Linked DNA regions of Anolis sagrei. The protein of the gene in region 2 purifies or fractionates together with the protein of the main gene of each other region. This does not show direct contact. Links are inferred from orthologs where the notes say so. Each region holds a gene or a part of one and is shown on either strand. Other genes may lie near its edges.

Region 1 (7,514 bases), on a different chromosome or scaffold from region 2:
CTATTTTTGGTGATTTAGAGAACCCAGTTGTGACATTTATTTTCAAATCTTTTAGATTTTTCAAAGCATTTACTTGTGTAACTTTCTAATGCCAGATATTGCCAGTATTCGCAGAATTTTAAAACTGCTCCAATTTGAAAAGGCAAATACCAGTATTCCTGCATTTTGTTTCCAAAGTGGGGAGCTATAATAAATCTACATATCCCAGAATTATTTTCACAATGTGCATACATAACACCAAACTCCACTGGAAATAATCCAACAAACAATACATTCTAACCACACAACCATTAAAATAATCTAATACAGATTCTTTAGGAGAAAAATATGGTAAATGCATCAGTGTACTGAATAATTTAAAAGGGAAATCAGTCATATACAATTATTACAAATGAGAGCTTTTGATTTCAGTGATATTAACATTAAACCAATTCCTCTAGAATGTTAATATAAAATAAAAAAGCTAAATTGACAAAGAATAATGGCCACTGAAGTATATTATACAGAATACAAGGCTCAAAATATGAGCTTTCTTCTTTTTTGAACATCAAGTTATATTTTCTCCCATTTACTATGGTTTCAAACAGTCCTTCTGTAGAAATAAAACAGACTTAAATCTAAATAAATTTATAAACCTGTAAGCAAGGACACAATAAAGTGAGTGGAAATTATTTCCTTGTCTCAAATGGTTGGCTTTCCAAGGCTATCCCTGCTTCTAAAACCTTTTCTCTTTTCATTTCCTCTCTTTACTGGGTAAGAGAACTACCAGCTGTGCGATAAGACGACCTTTAAATGATTGCTGGATCAGCACTGGGTGGGGATAAGGAAAGATCAAGGGCAAACAAAGGTATTTACAAATGGAACACATATGTACAGATGATCTGATTGGGGGAGCTATAGGTAACTACAAAAATCATTTATTAATCCATCTGTTTGACCTCTCCAGCAATGCAAGTAAAAATAATACCTTTCAAAGATGCTGGAAGTTATTATTGTCACCCTTACTCTTTCCCTTCCCTAGTGTGGAAAAAGGTCACAAAACAAAATAATCTTAAACATGTCAAAATATTTCCCACACTGAGCAAGGCCCCCCTTTTTAAGGAATTAAACCTGTTAATTGCATTAATCATGGCAGTGGTGACGCAGCGAGGGGGGCCAGGGAAACGAGGAGGGACCTCAAGCAGAGTCCACAGTGTTACATAACCGGGCTGTTGGGTCTCATTAGAGTGCTGCTCACAGCTTCAGGGGAAAGAGAAAAGGGGCATGTCTAGGAGGGCCTCTCTCTCCTCTTCCACCTCCCGAACCAGGCCCAATCCGGATTATTTCATCACACGAGAGAAAGAATCCACTTTAAATCCGGTTTCGGCCTCCAGCAGAATTCTGGGGTTTGTAGTTTAGTGAGGCTGTTAAAGGCTCATATCTAAATAATTCTGCAGGAGGAAGAAACCAGATTTAAAGTGGATCCATTCTCTAGTGCAGGCATGGGCAAACTTGGGCCCTCCGGGTGTTTTGGACTTCAACTCCCACAATTGCTAACAGCCTACCAGCTGTTAGGAATTGTGGGAGTTGAAGTCCAAAACACCCGGAGGGCCCAAGTTTGCTCATGCCTGCTCTAGTGTGATGGGGAGAGTCTACCCATTGACTAATTGACTAATCAATAAAGAATTGTTGTTATTGTCTACCTCATCACACTAGATCAGTGGTTCTCAACCTGTGGGTCCCCAGGCGTTTTGGCCTACAACTCCCACAAATCCCAGCCAGTTTACCAGCTGTTAGGATTTCTGGGAGTTGAAGGCCAAAACATCTGGGGACCCACAGGTTGAAAACCTCTGCATTAGATAATGAATCCCACTAGTGCTGCTCAGCTTCAGGGGAAAAAGAAAAAGAGGCCTGTCTAGGAGGGCATCCCTCTCTTTCTCCTCAGAAATCAGGCCCAATCCTCCCCTCTCCTGAAGGCTGAGGCCTCCCCCTAGATCGCCTTCGGCACAAGAGGAGCAGTGTTTACCTCCCTAGATCAGGGACGCTGTGTTTACCTTATTCGCCCCCCTTCTTTCAAAATCCTTTCTCAGTTTCTCAGAAGAGAGGGGGGCTTTGAGAGGCAGTGCCCCTTCCTCTCAGGGCTAGCTAGACATCCCCACCTTTGGAGGCGTCTTCCCCATCTTGTCAATCCACCAGCTCACCAGTTAAGCCCTCCCTCTCTGTCCTCCGTGGGGCTGTGGCCACCCATCCCCCCCCCTCCTCCTTTCCTCCTTGGCCAACTCGCCTCCCTGACAGGCTCCTCCGCCGCCCCTCCCTCCCTCCCTCCGCCATCCAAGTGGCCGCCCTCCTCCTCCTCCTCCTCCGGGGGAGGGGCTGCGCGAGGCCCCTGGAGCAGCCCCGCCCCCTTTTCCCCCTCCATCCCTCCCTCCGAGGAGTTCTATGGGAGGGGGAGAGGCGCGAGCGGGTCCGGCCCAGAGATCGCCTTTCCCTGCCGTGAGAGGAAAGCCTTGGGCCCACGACGTCGCCTCCACACACACACACACACACAGAGAGAGAGGTTTCCCCGCCTCCATTCCCTCCCGTTCTACCAGTCCCCCCTCCTCCTCCAATTCCCCCCTCCCCTCGCAGGGCCGTGTCAACACCCTCAGGCAGCCCCGTCCTGTCAAATCCTTCGGCCGACACCCACAGGCGAGGCCTCCCCGCTCCCTTCCTTCCCCCACCCCCGCCCCTCACTCAATTCGAACCCTCGCCCGCTGTGTGAGTCTGAGGGGAGCCCAAGAAGGGGAAAGGGTGAGGTAAGCCGCCTCCATCATCCCCATCTCCAGGCCGCCCCCCCCTTCTCCCTCTCTCTCTCGCGACACTCACCCGGGGCCTATATAGTGCAAAGGAGAGGGAGGCTCAGCGTCGGAACCCCATAACCCAGCGAGCCGGGGTGGAGAAAAAAGGGGTCGACTGCGCTTCTCACGCCCCGGGACCAGAGACAGCGCGCTCCGCCTCAGCAGCTGTGAGACGCCTTCTTGTAGCGCCCGAGCCTCCGCCGCGCCCCTATATATGCCCTCTCACGCCCCGCCCCCTCCGGGCCCCGCCCCTAGGCCTCGTCAGCCCCACCCACTCGCCTGCCAATCGTTCGGCCCCTGTCCTAGTCCCTGCTCCCCATTGGCCTCTCTATCCTGCCAATAAGACTCATTCCCCGCCTCCCCCGCGTCCCCCCCTCGCGCACCTGCTCCGAGCCCCTCCCACCGAGCCCCCCCCCTTCCCTTTCTTCATCCTCCTGCTTCCAGGGGGTTCGTGTGGTGCTCTTTCAAGGCGCAAAGGACAAAATGCTGAGGCCTTCCTTCCTCCTCCCTCCCTAGGAGCTGCTTGCGTACTTTCTGAAAAAGGAATGGGGAAAACGCCTACTGTGTCCACCATGGCCCCGCCCGTTTATAAGGGACAGCTGGCTTAAGCCGTGCCCTGAATCTCTGCTGCTAAGACTGCTCCCTCAGAGCACATATTTCCTGGGTCTCCTCGCAACCCCCTTCCGTCGCCATATTGCTCCCCCCCGCCGCCGGCTCCCCTTCACGCCCGGCGCCAGGGAGCATTAGCCCTTCTCGACATCCCCCCACCCCACCCCCTGCTGCTAAGGGGCTTTCGGTGACGTCAACCCCTACGTCATTCCAGGAACCACGCCCCTCCCTCCACTCCCTTCTCCCTCACCGCGTGAAGACTACGTCTCCCAGAATGCTCTCTGCTCTACTACGTCATCGGGGGGAGTGATTCGGAATCCTGTCAGCAGAGAGGCGCTCAGGCGGAGGGGAGTGCTTGCTCACGTTATGCCCCACCCCTTTCTGCAGCCAAAGGACGGAGACAGGAGGGCAGCCTGGAAGGCATTTCCTGCTTCTTGTATTATATCCTCATGTGTCAAGGCCCCTTGGCCGAATGCCGCCCACCATGACATTTGGAGGCCCCGGTGGCGCAGTGGGTTAAAAGGCAGGATTACTGACCGTCCACGGTTCGAATCTGAGGGGAGCGGGTTGAGCTCCCTCTGCCAGCTCCAGCTCCCCATACGGGGACACAAGAGAAGCCTCTCCCGCAAGGAGGGTAAAACATCAAAACATCCGGCCCCCTGGGCAACCTCCTTGTAGACTGCCAATTCTCTCACACCAGAAGCGACTTGGAAGTTTCTCAAGTCACTCCTGACACACATAAAAATGTCATTTTACGTGACTCTCCGAGTACTGACTAAATAATAAATTGCAGCCTTCCAGATGATACTGTATCACAATTCCCATCAGCACTAGTCACCGTGTGATGGGAGTTGTGATACAGTATAATCTGGAAGGCTGCAATTTATTATTTAGTCAGGAGAGAGGGGTCTGAATTGAGACACAAGGCTTGCGGATATGAGGCCTGACCTTAAAATGTCCTTGAACCTTTTCCCCAACCTCAGAGCCCACCAGTGCTGTTTGGACTGCGGTTTCCATTATCCCCAGTCGCACAGCGGATCATTAAGAGTGAGTTGTTGTTCTGGGAGACCAAACAGTAAAAACTAAAGAGCACCGACCACTATGTACCCACGGATTCAAGAACCCTTTGAAGGCAACCAAGAGGCTCCCCAAACTACAACTCCCAGGATTCCATAGGAGTGAGCCAAGGAGTGACCAGCGACCTATGGCGCCTCTTCCTCCCTCCCTACGTGTAGTAGCCCGCCCTACAGTGGCGCAGTGGGTTAAACCCTTGTGCTGGCAGGACTGAAGACGGACAGCTCACAAGTTCGAATCTGGGGAGAGCACGGGTGAGCTCCCTCTGTCAGCTCCAGCTCCCCATGCAGGGACGTGAGAAAAGCCTCCCACAAGGATGGTAAAACCTCAAAACCTCCGGGGCTCCCCTGGGCAACATCCTTGCAGACGGCCAATTCTCTCACACCAGAAGCGACTTGCAGTTTCTCACGGAAAAAAGAAGCCTGCCCTGCCTCTCAGCCACTCTCGGATCCCTCCCCGCTGTCACGAGGGTGGGGAGCATTTCCCCGAGGAGGAGGAGGAGGAGGAGGGAAGCCAAGCACAACAAACTTACTACAAGACATAGTGTATAATATCTTGGTACTCCTTGCGTTTTGCCTTGCTGCAGGAGTAGAACAAAACTGCACTGGGCAACCAATCCAAGGCCAATGAACAAGAGCACGGTAGCACTGAGGAGTTGCCAAAGAGAAGTTGCCTATTTGTTGTGTTGGATGCTCTGCGTTCCTGTGATCCTCCCTCCCTCTCTCTCTCTCTCTGAGGAATCTTGCTCCTCCTCCACCAAATGGACTCCCCTTCTGGTGTTGTCTCTATTCTTTTGAAGGAGGAGAGGATCGGTGCCCCCTTGTTTTGGGTTTGAAGGGAAAATCACCTGCTGTGTCTAATAATAATAATAATAATACAACAACATCAACAACAACAACATGTCTGGTAGGAAAGGAAACAAGCACAGTTGTTATTATTGAGATCCAGCTTATTATTATTTTTTCTCCTACTACACAAGGAGACTAATGGGGAGGGCACTAGGGGGAAGGGGGGAGAGGCTCTGAGTAATACCCCAGAGTTATCAGTTCGCCCCGCCCCCCTCCGCCATTGGCTCCCCAAATCTGTCAATCTTAAAAAGCTCTCCAACCTGCGTCTGGTGTTTCACGAGGGCGGAGCCAATAGAAGGTGGGAGGAGGGCAAAAAACAGGGAGGGAGGGAAGGAGGAGGAGGAGGAGGGGGGGGGGGGAAGAAGGGAACGCGAAACGTCATTGCCTTGCGCGCGTGCCCGTGCCTCCCTCTTCTTGACGGGAGCGCGCACGCTTTCCAGCTGGCTGCAGGAGGAGTGAAGGAAGAAGTCCTGTGGAGTCAGTGCAGTCTGACCTCATTTGAACTGCCAAGGCTGGATGCCTTGGTGGGAACCTGGGAGTTGTAGTTTGAGGAAGCCCCAACCCTCTTTGCAGAAAAGGCTTCTAAAACTCCCAGGATTCCATAGCGGTTCAAGGATAGGGTCAAAACTGCGTTAATTCCCCGATATACATCGACCCTGTGTATATTAATGTGCCACCTTCAGGTCTCCTGTCCATTTATGGCAACCCTTATGAGCACAATCCTCAGTTCCTTCCTCTCAAACACAGCCTACAGCACATGGTTTCCCCTGCTGTCTCCCACCCGAGAATTATGTACCTCCTACTGTATATATTTTCTCTATAGAAAATATGCTATATATCATTTGGTAGTATAGAAATATGTGTGTGTGTGTGTGTGTGTGCATATCTAGATTATTCAGATACATGCATAGGTAGAAACAACACATGATTGGCTTCCTAGGCCCCACTCAATTGGCTACTCAGTATTCTGGAGGAATACTTTGCCCTTTTTTGGTGGTAGGGTCAGTTTCAGATTGCAGGATATAGGCAAAACATGAGAGAACACAGAAAAGAAGAGGGTAGGGGTGGCGGACCACCCTTCAAAAGATTTCAGACTAATATGTGGCAGGGACCCCCTGGTTGTGCAGCAGATTAAACTGCTGAGCTGCTGAATTTGCTGACCGAAAGGTTGTTCAACTCTGAGGGGTGGTACTCATCTCCATTTCTAAGCCGGAGAGCCAGCATTGTCCATAGACACCTTCTAGGTCATGTGGCGTGCATGACCGCACGGGGTGCTGTTACCTTCCCACAGAAGCAGTACCTATTGATCTACTCACATTTGTATGTTTTCAAATTGCTAAGTTGACAGAAGTTAGGGCTAATGGAGCTCACCCTGAACCCTGGATTCGAACCACTAACCTTTCGGTCAGTAAGTTCAGCAGCTCGGCGGTTCAGCCCACTGTGCCACCAAGGGGCCCTCTTAAGCTGGGGGGGGGGGGTCACCAAAGTTCCTCAGAAACATATATTTCTGATGGTCTTAGGAACCCTTTTGGCAGAGAAGGCTGAAGATCTCTCCGCCTGTCCTTTTCCTTTTTGGAAACAGATGGTGAATCCTCCTCCCTCCTCCTGCTGTAATTGGCCAGCCTCTCAGCCAAAGGGAGGGCAGTTTCTGAGACTCCAAGTGTGTAGGGGAGAACAGGTGTGTTCAGTGCATGGCAGCGTGATGCGCATCTGCAGGTGAGGGAGAGCATGTGAGGCTGGAGGGAGGCTCATGCCAGCGAGTCCCTTCAAAGCACACTAGAAGGGACTTGCAGCACAAGTGACTTGCAGTTTCTCAAGTTGCTCCTGACACACACACACACACAAAACATACTAAATAGTGTTTTAAAACAAACAAAAATTTTTGAAGGGCCCTTGCTCCAAGGATTTTATTATCAAATAATTGTGGGAAAAGACTGAAAAGGGCAGTAATGTCATTCATTCAGCCAAAGAAAACTATTTTATTAAGTTCTGTGTATGTTTATTATTCAGTGGGAGTTTGTATGTTTATTATTCACAGTGACTAAAGTCAGCTGATGAGCTTGTGGTTGTTGCTGTCATTATTGTGTGTCTCCAAGTCGTTTCTGACTTATGGTGATCCTAAGATAAACCAACCACAGAGTTTCCAAGACAGAGGTGGTTTGTCACC
Region 2 (7,846 bases):
GGGCTGAGGAAAGTGGTATAGAAATAAAGTAAATAATAAATAAACCCCCTGTATTTAAAGTACCCCTGACAGATGGCCATCCAGCCTCTGTTTAAATGCTTCCAAAGAAGGAGCCTCCACCGCACTCCGGGGCAGAGAGTTCCACTGCTGAACGGCTCTCACAGTCAGGAAGTTCTTCCTAATGTTCAGATGGAATCTCTTTTCTTGTAGTTTGAAGCCATTGTTCCATGTCCTAGTCTCCAGGGAAGGAGAAAACAAGCTTGCTTCCTCCTCCTGAAGCTTTATCCCCAATCCTGTCTCCAAAACAAGCCAGAGTTTCCAAAATCCAATTCTCACATAGACAGAAAATGCGGTGAAATCTTCCAAACAGGGGCAGAGACAACAAAGGAAACACCACAGGGGTGTCCACACTTCCCTATGCTATCCAGAGAGAGAGAGAGAGATACACACACACAAACATTGAGATAAATATATATGGAAGGATATATGTGTATGGGCATATAGGGATATATATATTGGTATATATACACATATGGATATATATATGTATATATGAATGTTAAAAATATATGGATGGATATATATTGGACCAACTGCTGCTCTGAGATCAGAATGAAGAGAGGGGCCATGAAGGCAGTTCCATCTTGCCTCCTGCACTGTGCGTATAATATACAATACAATATATTGGATATACATATAATATTGATAATATTATAATGTAATACAACATATTAATAATAAAGAAGGAGGGAAGGAAAGAAGGAAAGAGAGAAGGAAGAAAAGAGAGACAGAAGATAAAGAAAAATGGGGAAGGAAAGAGAGATAGAGAAGGAAGGAAGAAGAGAAGGAGAAGCAGGCAGGAAGGAAGGAAAGTGGGAGTGAAGGAAGGAAGAAGAGAAAGAGGGAGGGAAAGAAAAAGGGGGAAGGAAGGGAAGTTAGAGAAGGAAGGAAGGAGAGAAGGAAAGAAAAAAGGGAAAGAGGGAAGGAAGGAAGGAAGGGGGAAGATGTAGAGAAAGAAGGAGAGAAGGAGAGAAGGAGAGAAGGAAGAAAAGAGTGACAGCAGAAGAGAAAGAAAAGGGGGAAAGGAATGAAAAAGGTAGAGAAGGAAGAAGAGAAGGAAAGAAAGAGGGAGAGAAGGAAGGAGGGAAAGAAGGAGAGAAAGAGGGAAGGTTGGCCACAGCAACGCGTGGCGGGTACAACTGGTGTGTGTATAATATATACATACATACACCCACACGTAAATGGATATATACAAACATGGATACACACAGGCATATGGATATACACACACACATATGAATATATGTATATATACGTAAATATACACACATATATACAGACACACATACATATGGAGATAGATAGACAGATAGGTATGGGGGTATAAATAAAGTTTTATTATTATGATTATAGGATTGTGTATATATTGGACATCAACTTTATTTGTAACCCACCCTATCTCCCCAGGTGGACTCTGTATATGTGTATATCCATGTTTATGTGTGTGTGTGTGTGTGTGTGTGTGTGTACACACACACATATACATGGATATATGCAGACATATGGATACACACAGGCATATGGATATACACACACACACATGAATATACATATATGTATATATACATAAATATACAGACACACATACATATGTGTGTATATATACATACACACACACACACGTACATGGATATATACAGACATATGGATACACACAGGCATATGGATAAACACACACACACATGAATATACATATATGTATATATACATAAACATACATACACACATACATACATACACACACGCATATATATACATGGATATATACAGACATATGGATACACCCAGGCATATGGATAAACACACACACATGAATATACATATATGTATATATACATAAATATACAGACACACATACATGTGTGCATGTGTGTGTGTGTATATATATATACATACACACATATATATATACACATATAGACACACACACATATATACACGGATATATACAGACATATGGATACACACAGGCATATGGATATACATACACACATATGAATATATATACGTATATACATAAATATACAGACACACACATATATACATGGATATATAGACATATGGATAAACACAGGCATATGGATACACACACACATATGAATATATATATATATATATATATATGTATATATAAATATACAGACACACACACACATATATACACAGATATATACAGACATGTGGATACACACAGGCACATATGAATATATATACATATATGTATATATTCATAAATATACAGACACACACACATATATACATGGATATATACAGACATATGGATACACCCAGGCATATGGATATATATACATACATAAATATACAGACACACATACATATGGAGATAGATATGGGTATTTGTTGCTGGAGCTGTCCTGACACACATATGAATATACATAGATATATGTATATATACATAAATATACAGGCACACATACAGATGGAGATAGATAGATATGGATATTTGTAGCTGTTCTGAAGAAATGCCCCTGTATACGAGATCCCAACACTTACTGGGCCGTCCTGGTTCGTAATTCGGGACCTGTTCCCTTCCCTTCCAACTTGGGCCCTCCAGGGGGGTTTGGACTCCAACTCCCACCATTCCTAACAGCCTACCGGCTGTTAGGAATGGTGGGAGTTGTAGTCCAACCCCCCTGGAGGGCGAATAACCCGCCCGGGAGGCGCTTCCGCGAGCGAGGCCTGGGCCTGCACTCCCGCCGGGGCCTCGATTGACTCCCAGACCGGGCTGTGGTACCTCCAGAAGGCGGGGGAGGCGCTCCCTGAGGCCGGGCTTACCTCGAGCGTGCCGGGGCCTGCCTTCTTTGCCTTCCCTCGCTTCCTCGGTCTCCTGAGCCGCTCTCCCTTCCTTCCTTCCTTCCTTCTCCGCTCGCTCCGAAACAAAATGGCGGCCGGAGTCGCGCGCTCACGTCGCGGCCCTTTCTCTTCCCGTCCTGCCCCGCGGCGGGAAGAGGCAACGGGGAGGAGCCTCCACCGGCGGGATCCAATGGCCTCGCGCTCCTTAAGCCCCGCCTTCCGGATGGCATCCAATCACGGACCGACATTGAGGGAAAGCACTTTTATTTTTTTGCCCTCAGCGCTGAGGAGGCGGGGAAAAGGTGGAAAGAACCCGCCTCCCGGTTCGGATTGGTTGCTTCACGTCCTCGCTGCCCAATCGGAAGGCAGGGCTCTGAGGGAGTTTGTGAATCCGGCCAATGGGATGACAGCGCGGTTGTCTCGAGGCGGGAGCAGAGGAAAACACCAGTCCGTCCTTTCGCCTCAATGAATGGGGCACAACTTTGGCTCTTTCGGACTCCAACTCCCAGAAGCCTCAGCTGCGTTAGATCAATGGGCAGGAATTCTGGGAATCGTAGTCCAAAACAATTAGAGGCCAAAGGCTTGGGAATCACTCTAGATCTGAGCCATTCCTTGTTGATTTTGGGTCAAGGGTAATAATAGCAATATTGTAATGTATTAATATAACTTTTCTGCCACCAAGGAAGGCCTCTTGAGCTAGTTGGATAAATATGCACCTGATTTATCCATATATATATATATATATACCATATATACCCAGCCCTATTTACCTCTCCAAACCTATTCTCCCCTATGAACCATCAAGATTATTAAGATCATCTGGAGAGGCCCTGCTCTTGGTCCCACCTGCCTCGCAAGCGCGTCTGGTGGGGACGAGGGACAGGGCCTTCTCGGTACTTACTTACTTACTTACTTAGGCGATCCCTCGTTGGACGAGTAAGATGGTCTTCCATCATGGGTTTCCTTGTGGGTCCGTATGTGGCTGTGGAGCCCTATTCTTGCTCTGCATCTTCTTCCGCAGTGAGGAGGGCATTGGGTTCCAGGTGGAAGGCGGTCCCGGTCGAGGTTGGCTTGACGCGCTTTCCTCCTGGCACGTTTCTCTCTCTCACCCTCCAGTTGTGCCTCCTCAAATTCTGCAGCACTGCTGGTCACAGCTGACCTCCAGCTGGAGCGCTCAAGGGCCAGGGCTTCCCAATTCTCAGTGTCTATGCCAGAGTTTTTAAGGTTGGCTTTGAGCCCATCTTTCAATCTCTTTTCCTGTCCACCAACATCCCGTTTTCAGTTCTTGAGTTCGGAGTAGAGCAACTGCTTTGGGAGACGGTGGTCGGGCATCCAGACAACGTGGCCGGTCCAGCGGAGTTGATGGCGGAGGACCATCGCTTCAATGCTGGTGGTCTTTGCTTCTTCCAGCACGCTGACGTTTGTCCGCTTGTCTTCCCAGGAGATTTGCAGGATTTTCCGGAGGCAGCGCTGATGGAAACGTTCCAGGAGCTGCATGTGACGTCTGTAGACAGTCCACGTCTCACAGGCATAGAGCAGGGTTGGGAGGACAATAGCTTTATAGACAAGCACCTTAGTATCCCTACGGATGTCCCGGTCCTCAAACACTCTCTGCTTCATTCGGGAAAATGCTGCACTCGCAGAGCTCAGGCGGTGTTGTATTTCAGCGTCGATGTTGACTTTGGTGGAGAGGTGGCTGCCAAGGGAGCGGAAATGGTCCACATTTTCTAATGTTACACCATTAAGCTGTATCTCTGGCATTGGAGAGGGGTTGGCTGGTGACTGCTAGAACAGCACCTTGGTTTTCTCAATGTTCAGTGACAGGCCGAGCTTCTCGTATGCTTCTGCGAAGGTGTTTAGAGTGGCTTGTAGATCTTCTTCTGAATGCGCACAGACGACATTGTCATCAGCATACTGGAGTTCTATAACAGCTGTTGTTGTAACCTTGGTTTTGGCTTTCAGTCTGCTGAGGTTGAATAGCTTGCCACCTGTCCGATAGATGGCAAGCTTCTCGGTGGTGGCCCCTCGACTCTGGAATTCTCTCCCACCGGAGATCAGAACCACCCCGTCTATCCTGACTTTCAGAAAGACAGGCATTCGACGAGTGAGCCAATACCCTGAGTGTGCTGGTACAGCTGTGCCAGGAGCTCCATTTCTGTTTGCTTTTGCATTTAATGTTTATTGCAGTCCTAAGTTTCAGGGACCCTGCAGATAGGTGGCTTCTTTTATTTATTTATTTATTTATTTCTGCTACTTAGACCCCGCCCTTCTCACCCCCGAGGGGGGACTCAGGGCGGCTTACAAAAAGAAGGCACAATTCGATGCCCTTATCCAAATACATACATATATAAAACGATTACCATAATTAAGCAATTAACAGATTAAAAACATCAATATATAACACAATAGCACAACAATAAACAATCTCATGGTCAGTGTTTCGAGTTCCATAAGTCCAATAGGTTTCGTCATTATTTGCCCATCATTATGGTCTTTCTTTTTAGCTGCCAGAGTTTCCAAAAGCCTGGTCCCACATCCAGGTTTTCAGCTTTTTCCTGAATGAGAGAAGGGAAGTCGCTGATCTGATCTCCCCGGGGAGTGAGTTCCACAGGTGGGGGGCCACCACTGAGAAGGCCCTGCTCCTCGTCCCCGCCAATCTCACTTGTGACAGTGGTGGGGTCGAGAGCAGGGCCTCCCCAGAAGATCTTAAACTCTGAGGTGGGATGTAGAGGGAGATCCGTTCGGACAGATACACTGGGCCGGAACCGTATAGGGTTTTGTAGGTCAAAACCAGCACCTTGAATTGTGCTCGGAATTGGATCGGCAGCCAGTGGAGCTGACGCAACAGGGGGGTGGGATGCTCCCTGTACGCCGCTCCGGTGAGCAATCTGGCTGCCTCCCGTTGGACTAGTTGGAGTTTCCGAGCAGTCTTCAAAGGCAACCCCACATAGAGTGCGTTGCAGTAATCTAGTCAGGATGTGACAAGAGCATGGACCACTGTGGCCAGATCCGACTTCCCAAGGTACGGGCGCAACTGGTGCACAAGTTTTAATTGTGCAAAAGTTTTCCCGGCCACTGCTGAGACCTGGGGCTCCAGGCTCAGCGATGAGTCCAGGATCCCTCCCAAGCTGCGAACCTGCATCTTCAGGGGGAGTGTAACCCCGTCTAACACAGGCTGTAACCCTATACCCTGTTCGGCCTTACGATTGACCAGTAGGACCTCTGTCTTGTCTGGATTCAATTTCAATTTGTTAGCTCTCATCCAGTCCGACACAGCAGCCAAGTACCGATTCAAGGTCTGGACAGCCTCCTTTTGGCTGCAATCATAGGGCAAGCCACCTGTCAATAATAGTTAGGTTCCCTGGTCCCGCCCCTTTTTGAGTTTTGGAGGGAACAGGAGCCATTTTGAGTTAGTTCTCACAGAGAAGCCTTTCGCACAGGACATAGAACGAAGTGGCTCCTGTAGAAAAGCTTCGTCTTTTACAGCTTGGCCGGGGTTATACAGCCCTACGGCTTGCCCAGGAGACATACAGCCACAGCTTGGCTGAGGGACTCCAGCCGGCCATCACAGCAACCTGAACTCCTTCTTTTTCCCTGGAGGTCTACAAAGCTCTGTTGAGGCAAGGGTCGCTCGCGGAAGCCAGACGCAGTTGGTACCGGGTGCAGGGGCTCCACGTCAACAGAGGCAAGTACAGACTGCCCAGATTAGAAGTTAAGCATTTCCCCATTAGTTAGTATACAGTTATGAAGATAGTGCCTGTTCCCAGTGAACAAGATTGAAAGAGCCTATAGACTGTTAAGAAAACCGTTAAAGTACCTGTTTGTTCCTTAATAAAAGAACTTTGTTGGACTTACTTTAAGCCTTCTAAAGACTCTGTTTGGGGGAATCTAAGGGCCTCTAATCTGAGGCAGCCCCGGCGTCCCGTTGGGCACACAGAATTTATGTCCTGTGTACAGTCTAATGCACAGGCCCAGCGTGCGACAGCACACTGAGATATGGATGGAGGATGATGAACAACGATTTTAGTGTGACGACTGACCATTGTAGTTATTGAATGTAATTGCTTTTTTAATGTTTTACTGTAATATGTATTTTGATGTTTTATTGACTGTATGTGATATTATGGTTGGAAACCGGTCAAGAGAGGTGAGAAGGTCGGTATACAAAACTTGTAAATAAATAAATAAATAAGTGTGTGTGTGTATCATATATATATATATATATATATATATATATATCCAATGGCGTGGCGTGTGTGTGTGTATATATATATATATATATATATATATATATATAATACACACACAACATTCAATTTCCTGGAAATCTTTAGAAAACAGGCTTCATAAATCAGGCTTATAGGCTTCATAAATCCGCCTTATATATGAATATATAATATATATTCGTATATATTCGTAAATCAGGCTTATAAGCATCATAAATCCGCCTTATATACAAACATATATTATATATTCATAAATCAGGCTTATAAGCTTCATAAATCCACCTTATATATGAACATATATATATATACATATATATATTCCTATATATTCGTAAATCAGGCGCTTAGGCTTCATAAATCCGCCTTATATACGAATATATATATATATAGATATATATTTGTATATATTCGTAAATCAGGCTTATAGGCTTCATAAATCCACCTTATATACGAATATATATATATAGATATATATTTGTATATATTTGTAAATCAGGCTTATAAGCTTCATAAATCCGCCTTATATACGAACATATATATATATATATATACATATATATATACGTATATATTCATAAATCAGGCTTATAGGCTTCATAAATCCGCCTTATATACGAATATATCTATATATATAGATATATTCGTATATATTCGTAAATCAGGCTTATAAGCTTCATAAATCCGCCTTATATACAAACATATATTATATATTCATAAATCAGGCTTATAAGCTTCATAAATCCACC

The links. The genes of interacting proteins can lie anywhere in the genome.
Region 1: the proteins of CNOT1 (region 2) and TOB1 purify together in Homo sapiens (co-immunoprecipitation; 3 studies listed by BioGRID and IntAct, counting the BioPlex papers as one, with this or other methods). This does not show direct contact. The link is inferred for Anolis sagrei from reciprocal best matches to the Homo sapiens genes CNOT1 and TOB1.

Annotation. Positions count from the first base shown.
Region 1 is NC_090022.1:114,706,801-114,714,314, reverse strand, and holds the start of TOB1 (protein Tob1), read right to left. Parts: upstream 3,012-7,514; 5' UTR 2,845-3,011; intron 1-2,844. UniProt on the Homo sapiens protein: Anti-proliferative protein; the function is mediated by association with deadenylase subunits of the CCR4-NOT complex. Mediates CPEB3-accelerated mRNA deadenylation by binding to CPEB3 and recruiting CNOT7 which leads to target mRNA deadenylation and decay.
Region 2 is NC_090028.1:1,661,131-1,668,976, forward strand, and holds the start of CNOT1 (CCR4-NOT transcription complex subunit 1), read right to left. Parts: upstream 3,018-7,846; 5' UTR 2,857-3,017; intron 1-2,856.